Linked DNA regions of Arabidopsis thaliana. The protein of the gene in region 1 interacts with the protein of each later gene in a pairwise test. Each region holds a gene or a part of one and is shown in the gene's direction. Other genes may lie near its edges. The genes, in order: HB22, HB25, HB28 and HB31.

What was found.
Region 2: the proteins of HB22 (region 1) and HB25 interact in a two-hybrid assay, tested with the Arabidopsis thaliana proteins (one study listed by BioGRID).
Region 3: the proteins of HB22 (region 1) and HB28 interact in a two-hybrid assay, tested with the Arabidopsis thaliana proteins (one study listed by BioGRID).
Region 4: the proteins of HB22 (region 1) and HB31 interact in a two-hybrid assay, tested with the Arabidopsis thaliana proteins (one study listed by BioGRID).

The regions. Positions count from the first base shown.
Region 1 is NC_003071.7:15,345,103-15,352,535, forward strand, and holds HB22 (homeobox protein 22), read left to right. Parts: upstream 1-4,108; 5' UTR 4,109-4,224; coding exon 4,225-4,309; intron 4,310-4,428; coding exon 4,429-4,823; intron 4,824-4,908; coding exon 4,909-4,986; 3' UTR 4,987-5,188; downstream 5,189-7,433. Other genes in the region: ProT3 (proline transporter 3), read right to left, coding at 1-65; RPL24A (ribosomal protein L24), read right to left, coding at 5,446-5,602, 5,697-5,845, 5,934-6,035, 6,145-6,220, 6,707-6,717. UniProt on the Arabidopsis thaliana protein: Probable transcription factor.
Region 2 is NC_003076.8:26,132,094-26,139,989, forward strand, and holds HB25 (homeobox protein 25), read left to right. Parts: upstream 1-3,908; 5' UTR 3,909-4,085; coding exon 4,086-4,925; 3' UTR 4,926-5,461; downstream 5,462-7,896. Other genes in the region: AT5G65400 (alpha/beta-Hydrolases superfamily protein), read left to right, coding at 1-29, 259-403, 648-749, 878-969. UniProt on the Arabidopsis thaliana protein: Putative transcription factor.
Region 3 is NC_003074.8:18,912,706-18,920,397, forward strand, and holds HB28 (homeobox protein 28), read left to right. Parts: upstream 1-3,308; 5' UTR 3,309-3,600; intron 3,601-3,707; 5' UTR 3,708-3,714; coding exon 3,715-4,464; 3' UTR 4,465-4,681; downstream 4,682-7,692. Other genes in the region: AT3G50880 (DNA glycosylase superfamily protein), read left to right, coding at 804-1,625; AT3G50900 (uncharacterized protein), read left to right, coding at 5,417-5,761; AT3G50910 (netrin receptor DCC), read left to right, coding at 7,484-7,692.
Region 4 is NC_003070.9:4,936,173-4,945,392, reverse strand, and holds HB31 (homeobox protein 31), read left to right. Parts: upstream 1-4,060; 5' UTR 4,061-4,792; intron 4,793-5,295; 5' UTR 5,296-5,378; coding exon 5,379-6,317; 3' UTR 6,318-6,639; downstream 6,640-9,220. UniProt on the Arabidopsis thaliana protein: Putative transcription factor. Probably involved in the regulation of floral induction.

The DNA.
Region 1 (7,433 bases):
GCAGTGTCAGGGATTTCGATATCAACACCTTCCCCGACATTGTTTATGCGATTCTTAGAGTTCATGACCTCTCCAAATGGTTATTGTGTCTCTGTAGCTAAGAGACTTTCCCTATATAATAGATGGTCGGTAACAACGGGACAGACTATGGTGAGAAATCAAGTCCAACTAGAAGTGGCGGAGAGATTTTTAAAAGATTTTAGAAATCAGAAGTTGTTGAACAGTTTCTTTCATTATATACGAATTACGAAGCAAGCACAATTAAAATGTGGTGAATGAAGAAATTTCTTTGGAATTGAGTGGTTCAGATCTAGACACAATCATTTACTGCAAAATTGGGATAATATATGAACAAATTGTACAAATGATAGTGTTAGACTTATCACAAAACAATCCAAAACAAAAAAAACATCAACTCTGAAATGTATGTGGCTGTGAATTTGGAAAGACACTTAAATGTTTCTTTAGACCGTTGAAGTGTTGTTGGGAAATGAGTGTACGCAGCTTGATCCTTAAAGATTTTTTGGACATTTCTGCCGTCTTGTTGTTAGGCTGAATAAGACTAGATACGAAAATATGTAACGTGACACGAAAGATAATAAATAGGCCAAAAGTTTATAGTGTACTAAATTCTCTTAGAGTTTTGACTTTTTATTGTTTGATTTATTTAAAAAGTGGCCGGCCGGGACCTCTATCAACACATTTATGTTAGACCAATTTTTTGGTTGAATACTTAAAACCATTCTTTTCAAATGTGACATCACAATACGATATATCAACATCCGCTAAAACTGAAATAACACTTTTTCTTTTTTAGAGTATACATAACACTGAAATTGAAATTGAAAGCTAGCTTTAGAGATCTAATGAAGAGTTGCAACAATTTTGATCTTGTAAGAAATTAAATCAAAACTTTGTCCAAATCTATTCTTTAAGGTTATGTCCCCGTTATACACATGATTTGCCTCTGTTATTTCTAGTAATTGTATGTTAATCTTTTTCAAAGAGATTTATCGTTTTAGTATATATATAAATGTAAGTAGGTGATAGTACAAAAGCGCCCGTGGCCTAATGGATAAGGCGTTTGACTTCTAATCAAACGATTGTGGGTTCGAGTCCCACCGGGCGTGCCAATTCTATTTTTGTCCATCTATAAATCGGCCCATTGTTGACAGTGGTCGGCCCAATTATACTTCGAATGTTAGTTATTGTTTCCATTGCTGATAGATCGACAGGACGGTTTTGTATGGCGATTTCGGCAAGAGGAATGGCGATAACTGGAATCGAAGATCACAGATACTGGAATTGGATTGAAACAGAAGAATGAAGGTACAATATTTCCGAAACTCATTGAACTTAAGTAGAATTAGCAAGTAGATATCAAAGTGTTAACACAGAAGTAGATGATCAAGAGCATTGCAATACTTGGTTTGTGATCATGTTATTTGACCTGTTTTTCGTAAACTGTTGATCTTTGGCTCTCAGTTTTGTGAATCTTTTAGAACAATTCTCTCTCTGGCAGATCAAATAAGGATTGAAAGTTTCCATATGTTCCTTGTGTTAACAAAAAAAAGTATCACACCACAATTATTCCGGTTCAAAGTCCATTTTTTGCTTGTATCTCATACTATAGTTAAAAACTTGTACCATTTCATATCACCAGTCGATTCAATATGAACATGTAAAGTGGGTACAAATTGTGATTACTTAAAAAAAATGAAAATAGATAGGCTTTGACAATTGTAACTTGAAAGAAAAGGGTCTTGTTCAAACGTAAGGACCATTCTTTAAAAGGGACCATTTTAATGTTAGGGTAATTGTTAAAACGTAGTTTAAGTTGTTATTCCAATGTCTATTTTCGTATTGAATGTTGATTTCGTTTTCACGACGGGGAGACACGTGACAGTTTCGACTTAAATTACCAAAAAGGTAATAATGGCAAATGGAAAGTCAGGTTCTGTGACTTCTGCCTTCCACTTGTTGGCATTTGGCAGTGCCAAAGTACATGTCAGAAAGATGTTATTGTCAAATTTGTCTGTAAAAAGAATTCTTATACTAGATTTCACCATGCTCTCTGTTTAGCAAGTACGTAATATACTGAAAACATTAACCGTTGGTTTTGGTGTTTAACTAACATGGAATTTTGACCTATAAAGAAGGAAACAATTCTAGTGAGCTTCTTCTTTATACGAAAACATTCAGTAAATGACACAACACGCTGCTCTCTTGAGCTTTATTTCTCTGTAACTTTATACTATATGGTCCTCGTTTTTAGATTATCATAATATAGCTTTCTTCGTAGTACTATTTAGTATTTACTCACTCAATTTATCACTTCTACACTCTCTCTATTCATTGGATTGTGACAATAATAGTTACGTATCTCGATCCCAAAGTGTTGAATTCAATAGATTTTAACAGGCTTTATACCTTCAGCTTCTAACAGAGATGCTTCTTGATTTAGCTTAGAACTAGCAGATAATAAGTAGATCTCTTTGGCATCTTTGATTATCCATCATGCTCCTGATGGTTAATTATTCTGTTTATATGTAACTTTTATTGTAGTTACATTCTCATTATTGATCCCTTCCAACATTGATGATCAAATATATCTTCGATCGGGATTCAAAAGAGCCTTTAACTAATTACTCTTATCTTCTAGCGTTTGTAGGATTTTTGTTCGCTTTCATTAACATATGTGAACACGAAAAGTTAAACCAATTTTTATGATTATAATCTATTACAAATTTATTTGGTTTACATTGTTTTATTTTAAGCAAAATCATATGGGACTAGTGGCTCTTTTTCCGTTTCCCAACTTATACGTGTTTTCGATACCACATGTTATATAAAAAATATATATAATTAACAATATTTCCAAATGCTTATGAAAAATTAATAATGATTTAGATACAGTTTTGTTTCTGGTAAAGATGTATAAACTAATACACAAGGGAGAAATAAATTATTAAAAAAAAGTCAGTTTAAAAAAATTAGGATCACCGGTTAAGATTTTTTTCTTTGAAAATCTTTTATTTTTATTCAATCCAATGACTTGATACAGAAAAAATATCCCCATCTTGAAATCACATCAAAAATTGGCTGATGTAGTTGTTACGTGCTTTGGAAATGGAACAAAATATACTTATGTCAGTCACAATTAACGTTTAAACCGTAGAATTTGATTTAGAGAAACATAACTAGTGCTAGAAACTTCATCTTTATCTAACCATATAAGCATTTACCATTTCTTCAAGATAAGTTGCATCATTCAATTTCTAACTATACTTTATCGCCGGATCATACCAAAAAAACACGTAGATCGATATGATGATACTATTTTCACTAGTGCACTGTGTGCTCCCAAATTTTGTCAGGATCAGAATTGGACCCTTCTGATCTATCTGTTGGAGTAGCACCCTGCAGCTCCACAGTGTTAAATAAAGATTGTGGGGACTTTACAAATACATATACATACAAAGAGATGAAAACTGGAGGCTATATTACAGATTGAGAGTAGAAGTTTGAATTCATATATGTCAGATTGGTTGGTTAATTAAGGTAGAGAAAGTGATAGACATTTGTACAAATGTAGAATCTGGACCATTCTCTCTTTTCTTTTTCACCTCTATCTCTTACTCTTACTGTTCCTTTCTCAACTCACATTACTTTCATTTTATTTTATTCTTTTATATATACTAAAATCCACATTAATTGGTCACGTATAATACGAAATACCTACGTTATTACTTATGTAAATATCTTACTTATGGAAACATACAAGGTCATGTGAGAATATGAGAATAATAATCAATTTTTAACAAAAATTTCAAACTAAATAATCACCATTAACTTTTTTTAGCTCGTTTTGTATCGTATAATGCATTTGCTCAACACCGCCTATTCTTACCCTCATCGTTCGGAGTACTATTTGTTACCGGTCAGACTAATGAAACCATTCATTTACACATATATTTATCTTACTTGATAGTGACCAATTAGTTACCCGAAGTTAAAAACAGAAGCCCTAGCGTTTTCAACCACATTTACTTATCTATATATAATGTTCCTGCATGTTCTAACATATGCATATAGTGATAAAGATACACCCATATCAAACACCCAAAGTTGCTCATTTCCTTGTTTAGGTAAAAAATAGTCTCTTGAAAGTGATTGTTGTAAGCAGAGATAGACAAAAGAGGTAAAAAAAAAGAAGAAGAGAAGATGGAATATTGGAGCAGCTCCTTCATCGATGGCGCGTCTTCTTCCAGCTTCATCTCTCCTTTCTATAACTTTGACCATTTTTCAGGTAACATGCATCCATAGTACTAGGTTTTAGTAGAGCTAGTTTATATGCTTAATGCTTAATCATTCACTCAACTGTATGTCGCTTTACAAGTCTCTCTCTGTCTTGTATTGAATTTGTAGGAAACCAAGACAACAGATGTTTAGGTACAATGATGGGTGCACAACAAGATATACTTCATGTTCCTCTAGCAATGGTAGAGAGTGGCTATGGAGAAGAAAGCAACAGTTTTAATGGACAGGAGAAGAAAAAAAAGAAGATGACGAGCGAGCAGCTAAAGTTCCTCGAGAGAAGTTTCCAAGAAGAGATAAAGCTGAATCCGGACAGGAAGATGAAGCTGAATCCGGACAGGAAGATGAAGCTGTCCAAAGAACTGGGGCTGCAGCCGAGACAGATTGCGGTTTGGTTCCAGAACAGGAAAGCCAGGTGGAAGAACAAACAACTTGAGCATCTCTATGAATCACTAAGACAAGAGTTTGATATTGTCTCTAGAGAAAAGGAATTGCTACAAGAAGAGGTAATTACTCCAGTGATCAATACTAACTTAATAAATAAGCTTTCGAGTTACAATCCATTGAGTTACTTTCACTTTGTTTCAACAGCTAATACAACTGAAATCAATGATAAGAGAGGATAGTTCATGCAAGAAGAAACAAACCTGGGAAAAAGCCTGCAGCTGAGGCAATAGTATATAAGTTCCACTTCAGTTATATCTCCAAAATGGCTCAAATTTGTAGCTTTAGTCCCAAACAAGCAACAATTTCTATGGCTGATTCTGTTTTCCTTTGTATTAAGTATTGTTTAAGTGATTTTCGTGTAAAGGGTTCTTTACTAAGTTGAAGTTAATGAAGAAACATCGTGATTCAAGAACTCTAGATCCATAATCAATGCTTAACCAAAGCTCAATTTAGCTCAGACCACTAATAATGTCCTAGAATAAGCCAAGTTGAAAATTCTATTTAGCAGTTTTTGGATCTACGAGTAAAACACAAGGGGATTGATACCAAACAAAAAGTTTTCATAAACTGAATATATTAGATCTGGTGCAAAACTAAAAAATGGCTGACAAAACAAAACAATGTCAAAACAAGAAAGAAAGATAAGTGAAGAGAGAAGAGTGGGCTACTCTATAGCTCCATTCAACGTCTGCCTCCACCACCACCCATCTTAGCAGCCTTGGGTGCAGCACTCTTGGGGATATTTCCCTTCACTTGTGACTTCTGTTGCTTTGATGCATACTCGACCTTCTTTGCCTTCTTCTCGTCCTTGGTCTTCTTGATTCTCTCCTTGATCTCACTGCATAATCATCAGATTAGCTTTGAATCAATCACATTTCAGTTTCAAAAAAAAATTGATGTATATAGTGACTGTCTTCGGGAAAGAAACAAACCGTAGGGCAGCTTCTCTAGCGGCATCACGAACTTCAGGCTTCTCTGCTCGCTTCTTCTGAATAACCTCCAAAGTAGCACCGACAATCGACCTTGAGTAAGGCTTCTTAGTTGCACGTCTCCTTCTCTTCACAGCCTCTTGTGCTGCGTCCTGTAAGAAGAGAGAAAACAAAGATCACAACAGAATTCAATAGTACTAAATCATGAAAACAAGAAGCAACTAAAAAAAGAAACATTACCTTCTTGTGCTGCTTTCGGTACATAGCAGTCCAGCAAAGCTTAGATGGCTTCAACTTGTTGTGGAAATACCTCTTACATTTGGAGTTGAGAAACAAAAACACCTAATACAACCATAAAAACCAAAGATGATTTAATCAATACAGATACATAGTAACAACAGATAAGACTCTTCTTAACAAGTAGAGCACACATTTAACCAAAATAAAGTACCTGAGAGTCCGATCGGATAAATCTGATCCCTCTACCAGGGTAAATTTTCTGGCCACTGAATCGGCAAAGCTCAGTCCTACAATACAAAGATAATCAATGGTTTAGTGATAATCCAAAACCAACCCTGGTCACAATCACAAACAGTCACAGGACACACATTCAAAGCCATCTCATTTTACAATGTCCTAAAAGCAGAACTAGTAAATGGCTAATTAGATATCTGCCCAATGAGAGAAACAATACGATTCACAAGAGTCACAATGATTTGAAACAGAGACCAAACACAATTAATTCAATGTACAGAATTACAAACAAAAATGTTGCAAAGTGAAGGGAAACAATAAGATCTAGTTATTGCCGAACACAAGCCATATCTCGTACCAGAAAATCACAATTTGCAGACATTTCTGATCGGGAAATAAACAGATTTGAACCAAAAGAAGCTCATTTTAGCAAATTGGCATTTTCAACAGTAGCAATATTCACATGGATCATTAGCAACAATGTAAACCTATGAACAGAGAAGCATGGAGAAGAGAGATATAGAGAAGAGATTGATTACTTGAGAACCATGGCTCCGCCGCGCTATTACTCTTTTCACTTGAAACCCTAAAAAATCTGTTTTCTAGAATTACGAATCTATTTAAGGCAGATGAATTCGCCTGAGCCCTAGTTTTGGAGGAGTTTAATGGGCCTTTTAGCCGAAATTAAATGTCTTGGCCCATGAAAGAAATGTTTTAGTTAAAAACCCATTACACAAAGATTTGATGGCCTCTAATAAATAAAAAATGATAGTTAGTACAGTCTTAATAGGACCAAATGTTGTTTGGCTTGGACTTCCATATCTCACATGCATCATTTTTTGTTTGTTTCGAATTTGACGTTTAACCACGAACAATATATCACAAAACTATACATAAATTCCAAGAAAAAAACTCACGGCTAAAATGGTATATGGACCAAGATGATCCGCGAATCATTCCATTGCAATCTCTCTTATCATTGGTTGACAAAACTTTTGGAACCACAATACTTAAATGCTTATAAAATTTAATCACTCAAGTGGGAAGACGATGTTGTGGTTAGATTTGTCTGAAGATGTCTTTTTCTTTAGTCAACTGTCTCAAAGTTGCCTTTGTTGTTCAACAATCTTAGCCAAGTCCAAATCAATTGCCCTCCTTCCTCCAATTAGAAAGATTACCAAAACATGTTCTGTTTTCTTGTTGTAGTTACATTGAAGATGTGAATAGAAAAAGACTTCCATTTTTATTTTATCTATCGTCTCGCAA
Region 2 (7,896 bases), on another chromosome or scaffold:
CTGCAGCTATTCCTGGAATGCAAGAACAGGTACATAACTGCATAACTGATCATAATCCTGGTTCTGAGATTGAATCTGCTTATGATATTTTGAAGAATGAAACCTATTGTTAGAGTAGTTTTCTATTGTTCTGTTTTGAGCAAGTGTGTGATGTTGAAACCATTTATATGCAACAGAGAGGTTGAATCTGAATTGAAGAATGAAACATGTTGTTTTAATAGTTTGAGTAAGTCTGTGATGTTGTAAACTGTTTTGTAGGGATCGGCTCTAACTAAGGTGCCAAAAGTCAAGTTTTTAGTTATCATTTCTGGAGCGAAAATTCCAGGGTTGATGTTTGGGGAGCCTAAAGCTGCTGTTAATGCATTCTCATCTCCAGTTCGTTGCCCATCACTCCACTTCATAGGTAAACTGTTACTACGTTGCGCATGTTCTTGACTTGATTTCTCGGTTATGTTGTAATGCCAAGTTTCTGTTGTTTGAAGCTTACGTTAGTAGTGTGCCTTTAGTGTAGCCAAGATTGGCATGGGAGTGTTTAGACTAGAATCTAATCTGCAGCACTACATGTTAACGTTAGAGATTCTCTCCTACAACATTTGATATGACATAAGAGACAACTTGTTTGTAATTCTGTATCGGTTTTGCTGCAGGTGAGAGGGATTTCCTGAAGATAGAAGGTGAAGTGCTTGTAGAATCATTCGTAGAGCCAGTGGTGATCCATCATTCAGGTGGACACATTATACCAAAACTCGGTTAGTAAGCATGAAAGGCTGATCATTTAAGCTCTGATTTTTTTTGGAGAAATATGCAATTGAAATAAGTAACATAAGATCTGTCTCTTCTTAATTTACTCTAATGAGCTTATCTTTGTCTTCTGCAGATACTAAAGCTGAGGAGACAATGTTGAGTTTCTTCCAGAGCATTAGGCAGATGCTTTCTGATGAATCAGGTTCTGTAAGAAGCTTGATGTGACTGAGAGCTACTCCAGTATGGTTTACTTTAGATTAGATGATCTTGCAATTTTATAAAATTGTGAGATGTGATTATTCTTCTGGTTTAGTCTTTATCCAGGGACAATTCAATAAACGTAAATTATTAAATTTACCAACCAATATGGATTGCCCGTTCATGTAATTACAGTTTATAGAGAAGAGCCAAAGATGGTCAAATAGTTTGGTACAATTGTCTTCCTTTAAATATATGAGCAGCCAATATCAAAAACTCTATTCAAACTTTTTTCTTTGTTATAGGAAAAATGTTAGGAGAATTTAACAACAAAAAAAAAAAATGATGGAAGAACAAAAAATATGGAGGGGGGCATCAAAGAAGGTGAGTTAAATTATTGTCCTTTAGATGTATTAATGGTCAAATGGATCTCATGATAATCTATGAGTTCCACTTGTAACAAAGTTTTACTTCTTTTTCAATCTACCCCCTTATACCCTATTAACTTAGCCTTGTCGGTTGCTTTCTAGTCTTAAAAAAAAAACAAAATTTCAACTCTTTTTTTATTCTTGTATGAAATAATTGATTGAACATATCGAATTACAGATCATATGATTACCCCTCATTTCAAAATAAATATATGATAAACAGTAGACGTCGACATGGGTTGTGTAATTTCAGACTTATATGTATACCCATCATAAGTATTCTCACGCTTGCAAAGCTTTAACTGTTTAGTTTTCATGCACTTTTAACAAATCATCATCATAATCTATTTTCAACAATTTGCTTATATCTTGAAATAGTTGTTTGGTTTAGTTTTTGTGTTGTTTTCCCTGTTCTCATGATATACCAAACCACTATTTTAATAAGAGGTAGAAAATAATTTCTCGTGAGAATGTCTAGTTGTGAATTGTGATGACCGTATCAACATTAATGTATAGATATATGCAATAAATTGAATTTCAAAGACCCTATCATTGACTTAGGAAATCTATTAACTCATGAATTATGTCTGGCATAAAACTGTTGAATAGTTTTTACATGTTTCTTTTGATAATACTACTTCTGTCTCTTTAAGTTTTTGTGTAACCTATTTATGATTTCTAATTTTGAGATTAAGAAATTTTGAAATTCGGTTTAGTAAGAAATGTAACGTTATGATGATTTACGAATAATGAACGGAGACAAATCCTCTGTGTGTCTCCACGTAGGAAAGCGGTTTCCCGCCAGCTGACAAGTAACACGTAAGCACGTCATCTCAAACGTCTTTCAGGAATCCATTTGCTTCATTTCCTCCTCTTATTAATATTTAGTCGGTGTTTTATATATTTTCAGATCTTTATTTTTCTTGTAACATAAAAATTACACTTTTTTGTTCATGTCAAATGAGTTTTCATTATTCACTCTTAAATCTTAATCTCTGCTTTGAAATTTGAGCCGTACAAAAACATTCGCATTTATTGTTGATGCGACACAGATGTTACTTTTATTTTATTATACTATTATTCTGAAGGAACGGTCAGCTGTATTTTTATAGTATAATTTTAATTTAAATCATCATAATCTGGTTATTGAAAAATTATTTCATTTTCAACTTTTTATTGTTTTATAAGATTGGAAATATTTGAATATTGATGAGAGCGAATGTTGGTTTCCTTCTCGAATTCTCGTATACCAATGCTAATATTTCTTTAAAGAAAATACTCCATAGTATGTTTTTTCTTTAAATTTAATTAGCTACGTCAACAAATTTTTTATATTTCTCACAAATAACTTACGTAAATTCATCATGCAATTTTGTGTTGACAAGACCAATGACCCTCGACTGAATTAATGAAGAGACTAGTCGTTAAAAAAATAATACTCAGTTATATGAGTATATAATAGTGCTGGTCGTTTAAAGAAAACAGTAAAAGCATAGTGAAAGGATAAAAACTGTCGTCGGAGATCTAACGTCAGCATAAGTTAATCAGAGGCTGAGAAATGATCATCTCATACGTTTCGTCTTCACATTTGCAACTAATCTACAAGTATTTAATGTATCATTAAACTTTTGTTTACTTGATGACACAAAATAAAACTAAATAAAGTTTTATTTTAGTGTTTATATATTTATACTGAATTATTTAGTAATAATTCTGAAAAGTTGACAACAAAATTCAGACCTTGAAATTATTAAGGGCATTACTGATTTTGATGTGATTAGACTGCCCATCACTTTATTGCAGAAAAATATTAATGCATATATTTATGCTATTGGCATATGGACAAAAATAATTATCGCGTTTATTTTGATTCTATCCCCTTTTTTTTTAGTTTCCCAAAAAGTTATCTCTAATATCATCTCCTCTCTCTTTTTGTTTTTTAATCCTACACTAAGCTTTTTGTATTGTTGTATTGTCCAAAAATAACAAAAGCTTATGGAAAACTTGTAAAACCCATAAGCTACCTAGTGTGTTTTAAGATGAGCCCTAGAACTACTCCTGAAGAAGACAAACATGTTTAATTATATCATTTTAATTCAAGATTACATAAATAAGTTTTTAGTGTGTCATTTTTAGAAGAAAATTAGTAATATTTCGTTCAATTTTCACATGTAGGTAACAATCTTTACAACTTTAAGTAATAACCCAGGAAAAAATAAACAGTAAATGGAATCAAGTAAACACGAACTCAAATCAATTTCTTTTTAACGTGTCTTTTTATATCATAAACATGGTTAAAATTTGTGATCTAATACAAGAATAGTTGACTAAAACAAATCATGCATGGTCAGAGCGATACGACCAAATTGAATAAAATAATAGGAATATATAATTAATAAGAAAGTATAATAGCTCTTCAAGTAAAATTAGAAAGAAAGAAAGAAATAATGCAAAAGATAAAGAAAGCGTTACAAAGTGTGGTTGAGGACAGATTATATTAGATTCCGATTTCCAATAAACAAGAAATTATATAGCAAAAATAAAAGATAAAAATAAAATAAAAACACTTCTCAAATCGGCAAATCCAAAAGAGAGAGATAAAAGAGAGAAAGATAATCTCTTTAATGTCCACATTATCTCTCTCTTCTTCTTCACCTTCTTGAGAAACCTCCTCTCCCCAAAAACGACGTAGTTTCACATTTCTCGACTTCTTGAATGGAGTTTGAAGACAACAACAACAACAACGACGAAGAGCAAGAAGAGGATATGAATCTTCATGAGGAAGAAGAAGACGACGACGCCGTTTACGACTCTCCTCCTCTCTCTCGTGTTCTCCCCAAAGCCTCGACAGAAAGTCATGAAACCACCGGAACTACTTCCACAGGCGGTGGCGGAGGATTCATGGTTGTTCACGGCGGTGGAGGGAGCAGGTTTAGGTTCCGTGAGTGTCTCAAGAACCAAGCGGTGAACATAGGAGGACACGCGGTCGATGGTTGTGGTGAGTTTATGCCAGCTGGAATCGAAGGTACCATCGACGCTCTAAAATGCGCCGCTTGTGGCTGTCACCGTAACTTCCACCGCAAGGAATTACCTTACTTCCATCACGCGCCGCCACAACATCAGCCTCCTCCTCCCCCGCCAGGGTTTTACCGTCTTCCAGCTCCGGTTAGCTACCGACCACCACCGTCACAAGCTCCTCCTCTTCAGCTCGCTCTTCCCCCTCCACAAAGAGAGAGATCAGAAGATCCAATGGAGACGTCTTCAGCTGAAGCAGGAGGAGGGATTAGGAAGAGGCATAGGACTAAGTTTACGGCTGAGCAAAAGGAAAGGATGTTAGCTTTAGCTGAGAGGATTGGATGGAGAATTCAGAGACAAGACGATGAAGTGATTCAGAGATTTTGTCAGGAGACTGGTGTTCCGAGACAAGTTCTTAAGGTTTGGTTACATAACAACAAACACACTCTTGGTAAGTCGCCTTCACCACTTCATCATCATCAGGCTCCTCCTCCTCCACCACCACAGTCTTCGTTTCATCATGAACAAGACCAACCATGAATCTTGAATTTCTTTGATCACTAGGGTTTTAATTTAGCTTAATTAATTACTTGAGAAATTTGAGAGACAAGGTTTTTATTGTTTAATTTATGTACCCATTTTCCTCTTTGATGATGATGTTGATGATGTTGGTGATGATCTTTAATTTCTGGTTAATTATGTTTTGCATTAGTAGCTTTTTAAGTCTCTTAGCAAAATCTTTGATTGGTCTGACTATAAATTACTGACGTCCTTATTTGCATCACATTTGTCAGTGTTTGAATTTATCATGTTTTGTGTATGAATCTATATGAACTTGATCCTGAATATATATGTACATGTATTTTGTGTATGCATTATTTATGTCTTCTTTAGCATATGATTTCATTTTTATTTTATTTTGTGCAGCCTAAGCTTTTACTTGTTGACATTGTTATATATTGTTTCTTAAGTTCCTGGTGTTTTTGTGTGTTATTATATTTGACTGACCATTATTTTCACCCACACACACATTTGTAGCTAGCTAGATCTGATAGTGTTCTTGTTTCTTAAGTTCTAGGTTTTTGAGTGTTTATATATTTTCTTGATCATTTTTTACCACACATATCTAATGATAAATTGGTTATTGTCATAATTATATCTTATGTGGGATTCTATATATATATATATACTTGTCATTTAATTGTCCAATGAGTGTAGGACTCAAATGTGGATCGGTCGGAATTTCCTTGGGATGGAGATCTCTGCCCTAAGAATTAAATAAGTATTTCAATGGCTTATATTATTATCATATATGCGTGAATTAAATAATTTTTTTTTTCCATTGGAAATGAAAAAGGTGAAATAACATCAGCTAGCTGCGGCAACAGTATTCTGATTCCTGGGAATTAATTCTTCACTTAAAAAAAAAAAAAAAAATTAAACTCAAAACATGTCGATGCATCCAAAGCTTCTTATATCCTCTTTATGTCTTATATTATATGTATATGTATATTGTTCTTTGAAGATCTGGGGAAGAAGGAAACATGTGGGCTTCTTTGGAAGCAAGAAGGAGAAGATAGGAAAACATATGGGCACACATACATTACTGCATTAATGATGTTCTTCTTCCAAATCCCTAGACTTTCATCTGGAACTAATTTTGTTTACTTTTTCTTAAGATCACTCATTCACTTATTTCACCTCTAATGATAATTTAATTTGAGTAGTAAACATTCAATTTAATCGAGCAAAAACATATTCAATTGGTTCCATAATCATTTAGTAGTAATAACAATATCAATTTCAACGAGTTACAGTAATTATAATTAACAAAAGTGGTTCGGCCTAGTAATTTATTTTATGCAAAGTGTGTTTGTGAAAAATTTATTGACTAAGGTATGTGTACATATGAACATACATTATATCTCTCTATCTTACATCGTATACCTGAGAGAAACAAAGATAATGAATTCAGATGAAATTAGGGTTTTGAGTGATGGTGAAATGCAAAGATGCAGAGGAAAGAGGGAACCAAAATGATTGTAAAAGGAAAGAAGAGGCAGATAAGATTCGAGTCCCCATCTCACGGCCATTTCCATATATAGCTTTTCATGTCTCAACCTCTCCATCATCTCTCTCTTTTTCTCTCTCCCTCAGACAGTGCAGTAAAACTCGAAAGAGAGTGAGAGAGAGACAAATATACACACAAATGAAGAGACTTGAGAGAGATGCTTTTGCTTGATAAGGCAATCTCTACGCATTCTTGTCCAAGCTAAAGCTGCACACTCCTAGAGTGAAGATGACTTTGTTGTGGTCCTCTTTCATTTTCTCCCTTCTTTCTTTTTTGGTCCAAAATTTAGTTTTCACAAATTTCAAACGCGTTTACCTCAATTAGTTCATTGATATGGCTAATGAATCGGATCGAATTTAAACTTCGATCAACACTTGTTTGAAAATAATGATTATAGTTGCATGGACCAAAGTTTCAGTTACTTCGCAAATAAAACGCAGTTAGCTCAACCGAACAATATCTAATTCGTTAGAAAATTCAATAATTCAGTTGAACTTTAATACAAATCTTGGCTAAGTTAGATCGTAATTTTACGTATAACTTTTAGTTGCTAGAAATTTTAATTTCGTCTACATTGCTTCATAAATCGAGTTATAAGAGAAATAATGATGAGGACATGTATAAATATTATGATTATAGACTTTATTCAGAGGGGAGAAATGTTTACTCGCTGATGCAGTAATGAGAAATGTTCGTACCATACGTTGGAGTCTGAACTTGTAATAAATGTTCATAGAAAGTAGTGAAAATTAAAGTAGTTAAGTTAATTTATCAAAAAAAGAAAAGTAGTTAAGTAAATGAATTTTAGGGTTGTTTTTGGATGTATGGTGAAATTGAAATTATTGAGGAGCATAATATTTTGATCAGATAATAATACTATTTATTTAAACATGATTTTTTAATTTTACTGTGGTCCTCTTCATGGAATCTTTCAGTCAATACGCAGAAACCCATCGGACAACGACCCATCAATGTGTATATTATGTACCATACATATATTATATGAGTGTATACGTTTATATCATCATCATCATCATTATCATCACCATCATCATCATTCTCACAGTGTTTTTACTGTGGAATTGTTACTGTCGTTATGCTTCATTTAGGGAATCTAAATGTGACCCGCAAGCAGGGTTTATTACCTCCCTTTCAAGCTAAGTTTCGAAACAAGTAGTTTTTTAATATGAAAAAGTAAAAAGCTTTATTTTGATTGCGTAAATTTAAATGTAGGACAAGCTAGGGTTAGTAGGACAAGCTAGGGTTAGGGTTTTATATTTCTTTAAACTATATGATATGGGCATACTCTTAGCTTCATAAACATTGCCCTAATTTGGGAAACTGATGATGATTCACGTGCAATGAATAATTTTTTTTTTCTTTCCTGCTTTACATTTCAATTTTTACTTATTCTTAGATATGTAGTTAATTAGTCATGTC
Region 3 (7,692 bases), on another chromosome or scaffold:
ACATTAGAAAGAAAAACAAAAAATGAAAGATGTGCATAAGAGAAAACACACAGACCAAAAATATAGACATAGGATATAACTCTTTTAATGTATATAGTTTAGAGTTGAACGGAGAAGTTTCAGTTCCACCTGAGTCCCTGAATTTCACAACTGAGACTTTAATAATAATAATATTCTTACTATTGGTTAATAAAAAATAGAGAAAATAAAATAAAAATTAGGGTGTTTGGTAGTGAAGATTGAAATCTGATCGTCGAATTGGGGAGAGATTAGATTCTGATCGTACCAATGTGGGTTTTGGTACTGTTGTGTTTTCAGTTTTGGATCAGAGAGCATTGTAGTGATTTAATGAACATATATTTGTCGTATTATGCTCTGCTTCTTCCTCCTTTATATTTTGACCGTCGTTTTGTCCTTTACTCACTCCTCTCTTCTTGACCTTTTGTTCGTGTCAATATGTGCTCTCAAGAATATTGTTTTTCTTCCTTTTTAATTACTTACTTTTTCCGATTTTTTATTACTGAACCGATTCTGCAACATGTTTTGTACTAGTAACCAGCTTTTTAATCCATCTCTCTCTGCACGATCATATAAAATATACGTTATTTTTTTTCAATTCAGGCGTCGACAAAGAAATAACTGTTTTGTTGTACTTAACATGTTGGATCATATTTTTTTTACTGTAACAGGGCTTTTATTATGGGCTTATCGATTTTCATTAAGGCCCAATGAAGAATATCGTCGCGAGTGATAAAATTTCGAATTTCTGCAATTACTAACAATTAACAAACTCGGCCGTCGTCATGTCTCTCCGTAAAACCCTAACCGCCGTGAATCAATCTTCGTTACCGCCGGATTCTTTAATCTCCGCCGGTAATCTCACTGTTTCAGAGGTCTCTGGTTCATCTTCTAGAATCAGATTTCGTCCTCGTAAAATCAGGAAAGTTTCGTCAGATCCGTCGCCGAGGATCATTATCACCGCGTCTCCTCCTCTATCAACAAAATCGACTGTTGATATCGCTCTACGTCACTTACAAAGCTCCGATGAACTTCTCGGAGCATTAATCACAACGCACAACGATCCTCCACTGTTCGACTCAAGTAATACTCCGTTTCTCTCCTTAGCGAGATCAATCCTATACCAACAACTCGCGACGAAAGCAGCGAAATGTATCTACGATCGATTCATCTCTCTATTCAACGGTGGAGAAGCAGGTGTTGTTCCTGAATCTGTGATCTCACTCTCCGCCGTTGATCTTCGTAAGATCGGTGTCTCCGGGAGAAAAGCTAGTTACCTCCACGATCTAGCTGATAAATACAACAACGGTGTGCTTTCTGATGAATTGATTCTGAAAATGAGTGATGAAGAGTTGATTGATAGGTTAACTTTGGTTAAAGGAATTGGAGTGTGGACTGTTCATATGTTTATGATCTTCTCGTTGCATAGACCTGATGTGTTGCCTGTGGGAGATCTTGGTGTGAGGAAAGGTGTGAAAGATCTTTATGGTTTGAAAAATCTTCCAGGTCCATTGCAAATGGAGCAGCTTTGTGAGAAATGGCGTCCTTATAGGTCTGTTGGTTCATGGTACATGTGGAGACTAATCGAGTCTCGTAAGACCAAATAGCACCTGCCTGGTAATAGTTTAACAATACCTCTCTTTTTAGGTTGATAGTAACTAGAATTGTTATGTTACATAGACAAACTTGATTCTTTATAGAATATTTCATGCTTGACTTGGAAATTTGAACAGTTACATGATTAGAAAGGATAGGAGTATAACATTTGTTTGACATTAAGTTCTCTGGATTGGTTTTTGTTTGGAATGCTTTCTAGAAGTAGAAATCTCCCAAATCTTAAAACAAGAATCATAAAGTATTTATCTTTTCTTGATGTATCTTGTTTATCTAGCAATAGTATCAATCCTAGTAAGTAACATGACGATACTTTATCACTGAAGCTTCTATATCTGGTAGTTATCGTTGAAGTGTGATTTGTTGCAATCAATCATTTCAGTAATCGGGCAGTTAATATGATCCTGTGACGAAGAAGCTTTTCCATGCCCATCACTTCCTTTCCAAGTTTCACTTGCTGGTAATCTGAGTTATTTTGTGTCTGTAAATTATGGAGCACGTAAGAAAAATCCTTCTTGTATTTTAACTGTATTCCACGGATTATATTTCTGTGACTGTTGTAAACATGTATCATGTATGGGGTTTCATTTGACTTGGATATTGAGAAGCATGGCTTATTTACCAAGTCTTTTGTTTCTGTCTTGTACTGGGCTTGGCCCAATGTCTCATCCGGCCCAATTGATCAAGTGGTAGATAGCTTGGATCTGATTTTGCCAAGACAGATGTGAAATCAACCCTTGCTTTCTTTTAACTTAAAATAGTTATAGGAAGAAATTACTCTTATTCAGAGAGACGAATTTAAAAGTCTAAGATGTCACGCGTAACATTCAAACCTCTTAATAAAAGTTTAGTATATGGCTAATCTATTCCCGTTGATTGATTTCAATATTTGGTAAGAAATGAAGATGATCATAAAAGTGCTACACAGCTGTGGGAAACAAAGAATCTGAAAAATGAGACATGAGGCATGTGGAGATAAATAAAAGTGCAGGTTTTGTTGTGCTTATGTGGACCAGCTTTTCATTCTTTCACACTTTTAATTCTTCAACCCTCCCCACCAGAAAAATAATTTATCATGTCTTCTCTTTCAAGACTATCATTAAACTCTGATTGTTAAAGCTTATTTCATTAAACAACTCTATTAGAAACCCTAATTCCATTTGTATGGGAAATTGAAGCTATAGTAGTTAACTTCTAACTCCATGCAAACCATAAATACCTCTCATAATGATAGTAAGAGTATTATTTTCTCATTGATTATCACAATAAATCTGATCAAAGAATTTGTGGAGATCGATAAATAAAGATACTCCTACTATTATTATGACAGCATAAAGGATTGACAAACATTGTTGTTCGAAGTTTTAATCTATTTTATGATATGTTAGAACTTAAAATCATAGTCCTAAAAATTTATAACTAACAATACATAAGACATAATTTTAACTTACATTAGAAAAAAGTTTTGAAAACTAACCCATTTAACTAATTTAAAATAATCCCATAACTTTCCTCTCATTTATCTCTCTCTCTCCACTCCTCAAGTCTGTACTTAGTAGGTAATAGTTTGACTAAGCTAGGTTTTTTTGCAGACATACATTAATTAGTAACACCATCAATAATCATCATAAAAGAAAATAGAGAGAAAGAGAGATAAATGCAATAATGGGAGATGGACCAAAGGTGCAGGTGGTGAAAGATAACAAACATATGACAATGTCTCGAAATTAAGAGGCACCACCACACATACACACACACTCTCTCTCTCTAGTAGGTTTGTGTTTTTAAAATCAATATTTTTGTTGGATTCTCATGTGAAATAAAACTTGATGGGTGATAGGAAACAAACACACATACGTCATCATCATCCTTAATTTCTATTTCTCCTTCTTCTTCATCATCAATATCAATCTCATCTTCCACTACTCCTCCCCTCTAACAATAAGCAGCATCTCTATAATCCCTAAGGTGAGTCCAAAAGTCGTCTATTAATTATTAAAGGAGAGATTTTTGCATGCATTATTGAATGATTTATAAGTATTAATATTTAACAAAGTTTTGTTGTTTTGGGTCAGATTCACAATGGAGCTTGGAGGAAAATGCAATGCAATTACAACCACAACAATGATCTCAACAGAAGTAAAGCCACATACGGATCCGGAACCAGAAGCCAAACCCGAATCAGATCCATCCATGGCTTTATTCCCGATCAAGAAAGAAAACCAAAAACCAAAGACACGTGTCGACCAAGGAGCTAAGTACCGGGAATGTCAGAAGAACCACGCGGCCTCAACCGGAGGACACGTGGTGGACGGATGCTGCGAGTTCATGGCCGGCGGAGAAGAAGGTACACTCGGTGCTTTAAAATGCGCCGCCTGTAACTGTCACCGGAGCTTCCACCGGAAAGAAGTGTACGGACACAGGAACAGTAAACAAGATCATCAGCTGATGATAACTCCGGCGTTTTACAGCAGTAACAGCTCGTACAAGCCACGTGTAATGCATCCAACGGGTGAGATTGGACGGAGGACTTCATCTTCAAGCGAGGATATGAAGAAGATTCTGAGTCATCGTAACCAAAACGTTGATGGGAAAAGTTTGATGATGATGATGATGAGGAAGAAGAAGAGAGTGAGGACAAAGATCAATGAAGAACAAAAGGAGAAGATGAAGGAATTTGCAGAGAGATTAGGGTGGAGGATGCAGAAGAAAGATGAAGAAGAGATTGATAAGTTTTGTAGGATGGTGAATCTGAGGAGACAAGTTTTTAAGGTTTGGATGCATAATAACAAGCAAGCAATGAAGAGAAACAATAGTAACATTAGTGAATAGTTTGATGATCTGATAAAAGTGAAATAAATTTTTACAATCCTGTTTTGCTTTTATATATAATTTTTGCCCTTCAAATTATTCAAAATCTTGAGTATAAATCTGTGGAATCTTGTATGTTTTGATTGTTTTATATTGTATCTGGGATTATTTTTTTCTTTTACTTAATTTGTGGTTGAACAAAGTGATAAAATTGGACCTTCAAATAAAGAGGGAAAAACGTGTGTAATTAATAATTTAATGCACAAGTATGGTTAGTACAATTAGCTGGAATAGCTCAGTTGGTTAGAGCGTGTGGCTGTTAACCACAAGGTCGGAGGTTCGACCCCTCCTTCTAGCGTTTTTTATCCTTCAAATGGCTGTTTTAAAATTCTGATTCATACTTTTTTTTTTCTGTCTGAATAGAAAGTTGATTTTGTTTGAAAAATCTGATTCATAATCATGTACATGCATGATAACAGTCTGATGTTAAACCATCGTAAGGAGCAGATTTAGCATTCTAGAATAGATCTATTCTGCTTACTTTTACCCCAAATTTAGATTTTTCCATGATTAATATATTGTTAGATATGGATCAGACAAAGAAGATTAGTCTAAACTCTAAAGCCATTGTCCATTTGATTTGTCTAAAAGATGTAGACGTAATAGTCAGCATAAACACACATTTGACCGGCGATTTAATAGGGACGAACAAGAAGATGTATACATCATGTGGGTGTAACACTAACACATGCTTTATTAATTACATATACAAAAATTTAATTTAGTTAGTTGGAGATCTCATACACACAACAATAATTAAAATAAAAGTCAAACAGATCTACTATTTTCCTTTTCATATCACAAAGCAAACTTGTCCTACTACTTAAATCAACACCATCACGAAGAAAGTTTCAAGAACTCACCTAAAACACAAACAAAGGAACTCCACTTTTTTTCCACACCACATCACACCATGTTTAGAGCCATGAGCACAAGGAAAATCCATGGTGGCTACGAAAAGCTCGGCGATGAAGAAGCGAGACTGAAGAGGGTCTCTAGCGTTCCGGCTAGTGTTTATGGTCATTCAAGAAACCCGGTTCAAGAAGTGAAGAAGACACCGACAGCGAAACCAACCGGTGGTTCTGTTCATCCTTTGTTTAGTTTCTTTGACGTTCATTTTCAAAGAAAGAAGAAGAATACGGCGAAGAAGAAGAGTTTAGCAACGGCGAAACCAGAGTTTGCTAGGTATATGGAGTATGTGAGAGAAGGAGGTGTGTGGGATCCGAGTTCTAACGCACCAGTGATTCATTACAGATAGATTCGTCAAGGAAAATGAATAAAAGATTTGTATATCGTCTTTTTTTTCCAAATATATAATCTATGAGAAAGCCAAACAATCCTTGATTCGATTCGAAAAGATGCATCAAACAATGTATTAGTCATTTTTGCACGAATTGATGAGTGTTTTGTACACTCTCATGGAGATTCCGTGAAGAATAAGATAAGTTCAAGGGTCTTGACTTTAATATATGATCAAAAAGTTGATTTTGGTTTTCTTATTTAAAAGGATATGTTATATGAACTGAATCAATTCGTAGTAGTTGCTAATATAGAAGCGGTCCCAGAGCTGATATCTTTGAATCATGTTCTATATTCTTCATTTCCCACCTTAGCTTTTATTTTAAGAATTCAAAATCAAGTGAGAACAAATTCAAAATAAAGTGAAGAAAAATTCAAAATTTCCAGTAACAGATGCATATTTGATTTTCCCTTTTCATCAAAAAATAAAGTTACGAATAAAATATTATTATATTAAGGAGAAAAAAATAGATATGATCATAGTCTCATATTTCTTGTGAAGACCAGTTTTTTTTTAAAACTATATTGTTAACCAAGTTTGAATACTCGCTCTTTATTAAAAGCGTGTTCACATGGGTCACGTAACACGTTTAAGAAAAACCTGGCTCTAAAAATATTATCAAAATCCCAGATTTGACGAAGACAAGAAAATAAAAAAAGACTTTTAAAATCGTTTTCAAAATGGGCTTTACAGATTCGTGAACAGACAAAAATTGGGCCATGGGTTAATTTGCTTTTTAGGCCACGTCACCGTTTTAGTGACGTTTCTGAATATTCGAGATGTGACCCCACTTAAACAAGATCCCTTGGACGACGTCGTTTCGACCACTTCACGAAACCCTACCGTCGATTTATTTACACAAAGTACCCCTTCATTGTATAGCGCCGTCCTTTGCTGTAACTCTTACCGTCAAAGGTTATATCCGTCTTTCCAAATGTCTCCCAAAGACACGTTTTAAAAAAATAAAAATAAAACGAAGAAAATCAGAAAATGGGTCGCCAAGAATAGAGGAAGAAGCAAAGAAGAAGAAAAAAAAAAAACAGAGCGTTTCAAATATTTGCGGAGATACAAAGCTGAGAAGAGATAAAAAAAGCCTTGGAGAAGAGGTTTTCTTCTTCTTCTTCTTCTTCTTCTTCTTCTTCCCTCCTCTCCTCTTAACGATGTCGTATCACGCTTCTTCTTATCTTCTCCGCCGTCGTCTTACTTCCGTATAACCTCGATCTCTCACCGTTGAATCTTCCTCAGCTTTCTTCCGTGGAGATCTCCTTCGCGCTCGAGGTAAATCCTTCTCTTACGCCTCCGGATTTGATGTTTTCACCTTTCTCTGTTTGTTGTTTCGGTGAAATTTCTGGAAATTTTCGTTATGGTAGGTCTGAATCTCGAGAGATTCGATTCATTTTCATCGGCTTGACCTATTGTTAGCTTCTAGATTATCAGATTTGTGATTTGATTTTGCTAGCTTCTTTTTTTCGTGCGAGAATTGAATCAAGTTTTGTTTAGGTATACCGATGATTGTGGTTTGAGCACGCGGTGTTTGCTTTGTACCTTCCCAATAGCTAATTCTCACTTATGCGAATGACCATTGTTGGTTGATTTCTGATTCGATTGAAATGAAGAAACGCTCTTTGTGGTTTCGGTTTTTTTTTATTACTAATTTGATACTTGAATGATTGCAGAGCCATGCCTACTTTTTCTGCTATTGCTTTGGATAGAATGCTAGAGCCAGGGGCTTCCACGTCTGTCGAGAGTGTTCCAAGCACAACTAATTTGTTTTATTCAAAGCCACCGATATCAAAACTGGAGAAAGGTAAAGGTAAATTACCTAATGAGAGGACAGTTACTCGTCCTCTGATGTCACCTGCTCTCTACGCCACACCTGATGCGATTCC
Region 4 (9,220 bases), on another chromosome or scaffold:
ATCCATGGTTTATTATGAATCTTAATTCTATGTTCCAGGATGCATCAGTAATTAATTTTGACAGACGATTCCAACTGTATACCAAAACTTTGCAAATATTTGAATCTTCTACTCTCTACTCGTAATTTAAAAATTCAAATCCATGTTTTCTGATATAAATCTTTTAAAAACATTTTAACAACCACTAGATAAAAACGTTTTGATATTTATTACTCTTTTATTTATCATTTTATATCATATTGTGAATATTATAATTTAAGCATAGTTTGTAAGAACACTAACTAGCTAGTAGTAACTACGCAATTAAGCGAAAATTATAGAAATTACTCAAATCGAAATAGTGCTTACATGAAATTTCACAATACCCAAAGACATTTCTTACTTATACAAAAATGGATTTATGATGATCCCAACCGGTCAATGGCGGAATTAGGCACTAGTAATCAAAATAATGGCAATAATATAGTCATGAATATAAGGACTATGTAGATCTTAGAATATGTCATTTATGTTCCTTTTAAAGATAATGCTTTTGAAACTAAAGTTTTGTCAATAAAAAGATGAAGATTCTTTCGTAAATTCGATTTGAATTGCTGTTATTTTGTTTGGTGGGCAAATTAGGATTAAGAATAAAGAAGATCTATAAAGAAAATTCTTTGGGTTTTAGATAACCCATATTATTCCTCCGCAAAAATAAAAATAAAAAGAATAGATAATCAATATTCCTCCACTATATACATCATGAACCATTTCCAACATTTATTCATTTCTGAATTTAGATTATTTAAAGCAAATGGGCTATGAGCTGGTCCATAATTTGGTCCCCAGTTCGTCTGTTGCACCGTTTCTAGTATACATAATTTAATGTGTGCGCTTATGAACTTTTATATGTATTAATATTTAATAATTTGTACACATTATGTATTTTACTTTAGATTTTGAATTTTGATATCCATTACTAAGTTGATTACTTATTTAGATAAAATGCCAGATCAAATACGTACGTTATTTATTTATATGTTCTTATGTCACATGACTATATATAAACACACCCAAAAAAAATAGGAGTAGACTAGTAGTGTATCGAAATGCAGCATCGAATAATGATAAAAATTAAATAAACTAGCTCTAGTTAAAAACTTAAAATTATAAGAAAAAAGCAGGGAATGTTAAGATTCAAAGCAAGGTTACTTTAAAATAATTCCAACTTATATATCTTTTTCAACTTATCAAGATAAAATCATGGAAGGTGATGGGAATGTGTATATACTGTAATACATAACGAGGCATCTTGGGTTAAGCTATAAAAATGTTGCAGTATAGGTTTAAAAATTCGTAGCTTTCCGTGTATACTATATAACCACATGATTAGATGTTGGAAATCCCTAGAAATCAAATAAAACTTAATTAAACATGTTATACTTTTCTTTGGATTGAGGTGGTGTGGGGCTTTTGAATCTCATACGAAAAGGAATTAATAAAAGAAATATAAAGACTGAGAATGTTCCCAACGGCTGAATTAATATCTCTTTTTCCTCTTGGTTTGTTTTATAGGGCTCATTGTGTCGATTTTTTATTCATTGTATATGTTATTGGAGAAGTTTTGTAACTGAAATCATAGGTCGACTGAGGAAAATAGTTACTTAATTAAATGGTTATAATAACATTATACATAACAAAATGCATCAAAACAAATTTCTCAAACTTTGAGTTTAATCGAAATGGTGTGTGAGAAAAGCAAGGACAGCACACACATGCATATAAGAATAAGGAAGAGAAAGACTAAAATGTGAAATTTAAGATTCATTTTTGGTGTTGCTTACAAAGTAAATGCTTGTTGCGGTATATATAATGATGGAACTTACAAAAATACGTTTTTATTCGTAAAATCATTTTGGTGAACTAAGATCAACGCGTATAAGGTTTGGTATTGATTCATTTGTCAAATAAATAAAAATAGTATCATCTTCCAAACCGTATTATACCGTAGCATATCATATATGATAACTCATATACTCATGAATTATAATAACTGATGCGTGAGATTATAAAATCTAACAATCATTAATTACGGGATATATATAATCCATACCTTTTCAATCTAATATTACTATAGCAAATGATATTGTTATCATATTTACACTAACCAAGCCTAATATTAATTCATCATTAGTTGTGGATGTGACTTGAATCTTTATATTTGATTTAGCTAACGTAAAATGATTGAAATCTTAATTGTATTTGAATTTCCGTGATAAAGATTGTGAAAAGAGAGTTGGCATCTTAAAAGAAGATTTTATTTTTTTGAAGGATACAAGCTTTGGTTGACCAAAAATTGATGGTTCCATCTAAAAGAAGAAACAAATCGTCTGCCTTTGCACGCTTGTCACTTAAAAATAGGTATTATGATTAGTTTATACTATAACTTTCTTTTAACTAAAACGACATGTTTGAATTGTAACTTTTGATAGAGTATTTACTTATATATATAATTAATAGCTAGCTAATATAAAGAATTAATGTACGAGTATATAATTAGTGAGACGACTTACAAGGAATCTTAATATTATTGATCTTTTAAGTGTTTTAATACAAAATTTCACCCGTCTTTTAAAGGAATACAATCTTTGTAGCACTAAAAATACATTTAGAATCTTGTTTTATTTTGATATATAGGAAATAAATAAATATACAACTTACAGATATATACAACCCTAAAAAAAATACTTACATATATACACAAATTAAAGTGTCATAATATAAAAGGAGAACGAGTAAATACGAACATCTTGAAAATTGTGAACAATATTGGACCATCGACCTAACGTCATTTATTCTTGTGGACCCTTTTTATTTTGTCACTTGAAAAAAAAACGTAATACTAATAGACTAAATACATTTTAAAAATAGAGTATAATACTGTTATATATCCAAAGTTTTGAGCTCAACTCCTCATCCAATAGTTATGCCAGACCGAGTGATTTTCAAAATGCACTATGATAAATGTATAGTTAATACATTAGTCATCTATGATTTACTGACAAAAATAATCATTATGAAAAATATAATTGGGGATTTCAAGAAGTTACCAGAAGAAGATACAACAAAACAGAAACAAGAAAGAAATTAAAAGATAAAGTATCTCATATATGTGATCTGGTGTAGTAAAGGATAAAGAGTTAAAGACCATAGGGATAAGTAAAGAACAAAGTGATTCATGTCTTTGTTAAATTAACAAAAAAAATGGTTCATTAAACGAGCGTAATTTCAAATTGAAATGGTTGTATGACATGATTACTACTACTGCTAAGAGCAGTAATTCTGAAATGTTAAGCAATATTCTCTGTTTTACCACGACTTCCTATTTATAGTCAAACGAACACATAACTTTCGATCCTTTTGCCCATGCTTCCTAATTCACTACAAAAATTATGAGGGTACATAATTATAACTACAGCTGTAAATACACTGCCTTTTTACATGCTACCGCAATTTTATGTATGGTGAAATTTTAGTTGGTTCATTGGTTGGATATATGATTGAAAACTCCAGAGTACTTATAAAAGATTACAGAAACGTTTTTACAAATTACGATATATATAGTTTATAATAATAGTTCGATATGTGGTGTATGTGAACTAAATAATTCATCTTGGCCTCGAATGACGTGTGATGGATCTTATTTCGCCTGTATATATATTTTAAAGAAATCTTATCAACTGTATTATATCATCCAATATTTTCACTTTATCACTGATGTAAAAAAAAAAAAATTTGGATACTATGCAGATGTGAGAAATGTTAATCCATGCAAGAAAAAACATTTATCATCATAAAATAAAAGATAATGTTAGGATTTCATTTATTAAAAACTTATTGAATAATATTAATTAATTACGGCTTTTTATTATACAGAATAAAATATACAAGAAATATTGTAGGACCATAACTTCTGGTTAATAATATAATTCACATGCATGACATGACAACCTCGAGAGTCCAAAGTTTTACAAGTTATAGACGACGTATGAATTATCTATATCTTTGTGAACCAAAGTAAGTTTATCTTCTTTGCAAAAATAAAATATACAGAAAAATACTTCTGTCAACAAAACAAATAACCCCAAATATACAGAACACATACCTTTTTTTTCTTTTGCAATTAGCTTCGTTTACTCATGATTCATGAATGTTTTAAGTTATTTTATTTATTATGACTTTTATGCTTGTTTCACTGCTTACTCTCTGCCCACCACTCCCTGACACAGTCCTCTCTCTAAAACTTGTGTAAATTTTGATGTCTGATAGTGCAAGCAAAGCAATCACCCCATGACCTTTAATTTTCTTTGTTTCTCCCCTCTAATTCTCTGATCTTCTTTTTTTTTTAGGGGCATTTTAATTATAGTTAGGTTAAATAGAAACCATATTTATTTGTGTAACCAATATAAATACACTAACAAAACTGACATAATTAAATGCTGTTGTTTTCTATTTGTCACTGGGAGGGAAGGGAGAGAGTGAAAAATTGAAAATATCTAGTTTTTTTTTTCTCTCTCTTGCTTTTAGGCTTTAGGCTTTCACTACTAATACTCTCTTAGTTTAAGACATTGCCTTCACATCCAAACACAAATGCAAATCTTTGTCTCCTCTCTTCCTTCAAAGTCTTTCATTACAAAACCCTAATATCTCTAATCTTCTCTCTGTCTCTCTTAAGGGCAATATCTTCAATAGAGTTCTGAACTTTGGAAGCATATTAAGATATCAAAGTAATTTTCTACTTTTAGTTGTGAAGGTATGTGTTCCTAATTCAGTTCAATGTTCAAGAACCTGATTCAAATTTCTTTCATAACCAGTTTTGACTTCTCTCTCTCTCTATCTTTTGTTAATTTCTCATCAAAATTAGGAGAGAAGAGGAGATTGGTAATCAAAGAACAGTTGTTATTTATTTTCTTTTTACTTACTGGTCATGATAATAAATTTCCCACTTGAATTGAAGTAGAAGACTTCTTTCGAAGTGCGTTTGTCAGCTTTTGTTTGCGCAGGCTTGCAATAAGAGTTTTATTTTCCTTAATTACCATTTTTTTGTATTCTTTCGTTTTGTCCTATAATTTTGGGTTTTGTAAATTTTGGTTGTTTCTTTTAGTAAAATTATTTGAAAAATGCTTTCCGTGAGTTGTTTCTAAAAAAGTGGAAACTTCTTAAGATTTTAATCAAGAAAGTATTCACCTTTAATAGTTTAATCATTTTGGTATTAGTTACTAATATTTTCCTCCAATTGTCTTGTTTTCTTCTTAGCTAGTCTCTCCTCTGTCCCCAAACCAAGAAACAATTTGCAAAGAGAAAGCAAAAGGTTTTTGAAGAAGACCCAATTAAAAAAGATGGAAATTGCAAGTCAAGAAGATCATGATATGCCCATCCCATTAAACACTACATTTGGTGGTGGTGGTAGTCATGGTCACATGATCCATCATCATGATCATCATGCTGCTAATTCTGCTCCTCCAACTCACAACAACAACAATACTACTCAACCACCTCCAATGCCGTTACATGGTAATGGTCATGGCAACAATTATGATCATCATCATCATCAAGATCCTCATCATGTTGGTTACAACGCTATCATCAAGAAGCCTATGATAAAGTACAAGGAGTGTCTCAAGAACCATGCAGCAGCTATGGGAGGCAATGCTACTGATGGGTGTGGAGAGTTTATGCCAAGTGGTGAAGATGGCTCCATTGAGGCTCTCACTTGCTCAGCTTGCAATTGCCACAGGAACTTCCATAGAAAAGAAGTGGAAGGCGAACTCGCAGCCACCGCCATGTCCCCTTACCACCAACACCCTCCACACCGAAAACTCATGCTCAACCACCAAAAGATCAGATCAGCTATGCCACACCAAATGATCATGCCCATTGGAGTCTCTAACTACCGGTACATGCATAACAACTCCGAGTCCGAGGACTTTATGGAGGAAGATGGCGTAACCACCGCATCTAGATCGCTACCAAACCTGCCATACAACCAGAAGAAGAGGTTCAGGACAAAGTTCACGCCGGAACAGAAGGAGAAGATGCTTAGTTTTGCTGAGAAAGTTGGGTGGAAAATACAAAGGCAAGAAGATTGTGTTGTTCAAAGGTTTTGTGAAGAGATTGGAGTGAAGAGAAGAGTGCTTAAGGTTTGGATGCACAACAACAAGATCCATTTCTCCAAGAAGAACAACATTAACCTCGAAGACAACGACAACGAAAAGATCAACAATCTCAACAATGTTGATCTGTCCGGTAATAACGACATGACTAAGATCGTCCCATGATATAATTAATAACGTTATTTTTATATGATCTTTGATAATTATTTAGTTATCTTTATGTTAGCTACTAGGGTTTTAATTTTATCTTCTAGCTGGTTTGGTTTTATTTTATATATATAAGCTCATTTCGCTATCTCTCGTTAAACCCATGGATTTTATATAATTTTCTGCTCTTTGTTGTGTTTTATTTATTTGGAAGTTATATATATTAATCTTGTTGTAATAAATGTATGACCAGCCGTATTTTTCTTCTTCTTCTTCTTCTTTTGGGTATGTAAGAAAATCTACTTTGGTTACATATCATTTTGAATCATTAGACTTTTCGCAGTTCGTGATCATTGTGCTCACAAAATCTGCATGCAAGATAAGCTATATACGTATTTCCCTAGCTCATCTACATGACTTCTGAAATCGGTATGAGTATCTAAAATGGATACTGTATTTATGGAGACCACAACTTCACGCCTTAGCTTAAAAATTGTATTATCTAGTTAGGAGAATGATGTGTCTTTAGGCCAAAACATTCTTTATTACAATCTTGCACATACAATAAAATAACAAAATTTAAAGAAAGAAAATAAAATAATAATTTCTGCTAACAGAGATGTGAAAAGTGTACTAACGAGTTGCAAGTCATGTCCTCTCGTGTGTGACGTATAAGGTTGAGTAAATATGTAGTTGGTGTCACAAGCGAGATCACATTTATTAACCCTCTTTGTTTATCACGTATGTTCAAGAATTAAATAACATTTCCACCTTTTTAGGTATACTATAATTCGTGTAATGTGCCATTTCATAAATAAAAGGATTTGTGGTATAATTAGATGTTATGTTTTTTGTTCACATGTTTCGATTTGCTTTGGTTTCTGTATAGAATAATCAGGTATCATGCGTCGAATGTGTTATTTTTTAATGCGTTCATCCAACTCATTCAGTTGTCTTCTTTCAAACGATTTTTTTGTGAGAATGTCATTTCGGAGTTCTATTCGGTTCAATTTTTGAGTTTTGGTTTGACAATTTGATTATGAAATACCATAGAATAAAAATAATAACTTTTTACAATCTTGTATAAGAACTATATAGTGCACTTAATTTTTGACGCCAAGTAATTTTTAGTTTATCAGTAAGGACTAAATGTGTAGGATGGAGAGTCGTCACTATTACATTTATTTGGGTGTCAATAAATAAGAAAATATGAGATTCTGAGCCCTATTTATTATCTTTTTGTGAAGGAAACTCCATTAATGTAGCTGAAAACAAGGTCCCCTCTTGTTCCTACTCTTAGCTTTTTGATCACATTTTCTCTGCAAAACAATCCTATATATTGCTTCAATAAAGACTGATCGATCGAGCCCGAATTAGTACAGAGATCTGCAACTGTTATGTTAGACCCTCTGAGGTCAAGCGTATATATTTGGTCATGAGATTTAACTTTGTAGAGTTTAAGAGATTAAATGTTTTGAAAATATTGGGATTTGATATTTGTTAAACTTTTAATTATCATTTTAAAGAGATGTGGATCATATAAGATTGATTTTAAATATACTCAGATCTCATAGACATTATACCTCAGTTCTGAATCTTTCAGAAAACAAATTACTCACAAATGTTATTTACCTGTTATGATCTCTTTGATATGATTAGAAAAAATTTATGGATGGTCATAAAACCTTGAACTCACTGGTCATTAAGAAAACCTTCTAATTAACCTAAGAGTTTTAGTATTTTGTTTACAAAGTATATGTGTCAACAAGGCAACGTAAATTTTCAAAACCTTCAATGGAACTAAAAATGCCACGCGAGTTTGGAGAAGCCTTTTTGGCCAGAATGGTTTGAAGTTCAATTGAAAACAGAACATTAGTTTTCTTCCAAAAAGTACAATTGCGTATTAACTTCGTAGAAAAACAAAATCTATGAATTACAATGTATGATGTAGAAGCAATTAATAGATCAGAAAATGCCAACAATAATTTAAACTTTTTGAAATTACAATTTTCATGAATATAAACCCCCCCAAAAAAAAACTAGGAAAAATATAGCTAAAATGATCTATCTATTTATAAAATAGAGACTAGACTCTCGAAATAACAAACATGATTTCCAGAATTCTTACTCTTGAAAACAAAATCATAAGATTTGGTTTCGGGATCATGTACCACCATTTGTTGCTTATATATTAGATTAGAAGATAACAATAACTTACCATTTTTCTTCTTCTTTTCCAAAACTGCTACTGGTGAGACTGCCAAAAAGTGCTTCCCAAACCCATGAGAAAATATATTCAGATCTAACGTAAACATTTTGTGCCATTTCTTGTTGCATGAATCAAACGACCATACCACTTGGTCAGGCCACTTGTTCTCGGATATGCACAAGCGGTTATCCAAGTTGCACATGGCAATGTTGTCACAATTTGCAATGTCAAAAGGAACTTTGGAGATTACTTGAAAAGTCTCGGTATGAAGATCTAGAGATAGAACTTTGATTTCTTTGCATTCGGTGAACCAATGCAGCGACCCATCTACGTACACAGGATCATGGAAAGCAATGATCCGGTAAGGAGAAGAAGGGGTAATATACTTCCAAACATTGGTCCTAAAGTCGAAAACTTCACACGTAGTAGCGTTTCTTAGTCCTCTTTCTAGTGAATTATATAAGCAAACCGGCTTGTATGTGCCATTGATGATGTCTTTGCCGAATCCAAGCAAAGGCAAAGGAAAGACACTACTATATTCACTAGAAGATTTGTCGAGAATGACTTGTTTATACCTAGGTGGAGGAAAACTTCGATGCCATCTAGTGGCTGGATTGACTACAATACCCGATTTATAAAGATTGTAGAAGCATATCAAACCATCACAACTACTAGGACAAACAAAATCAAATATCTTCTCCCGAGGAGTAGG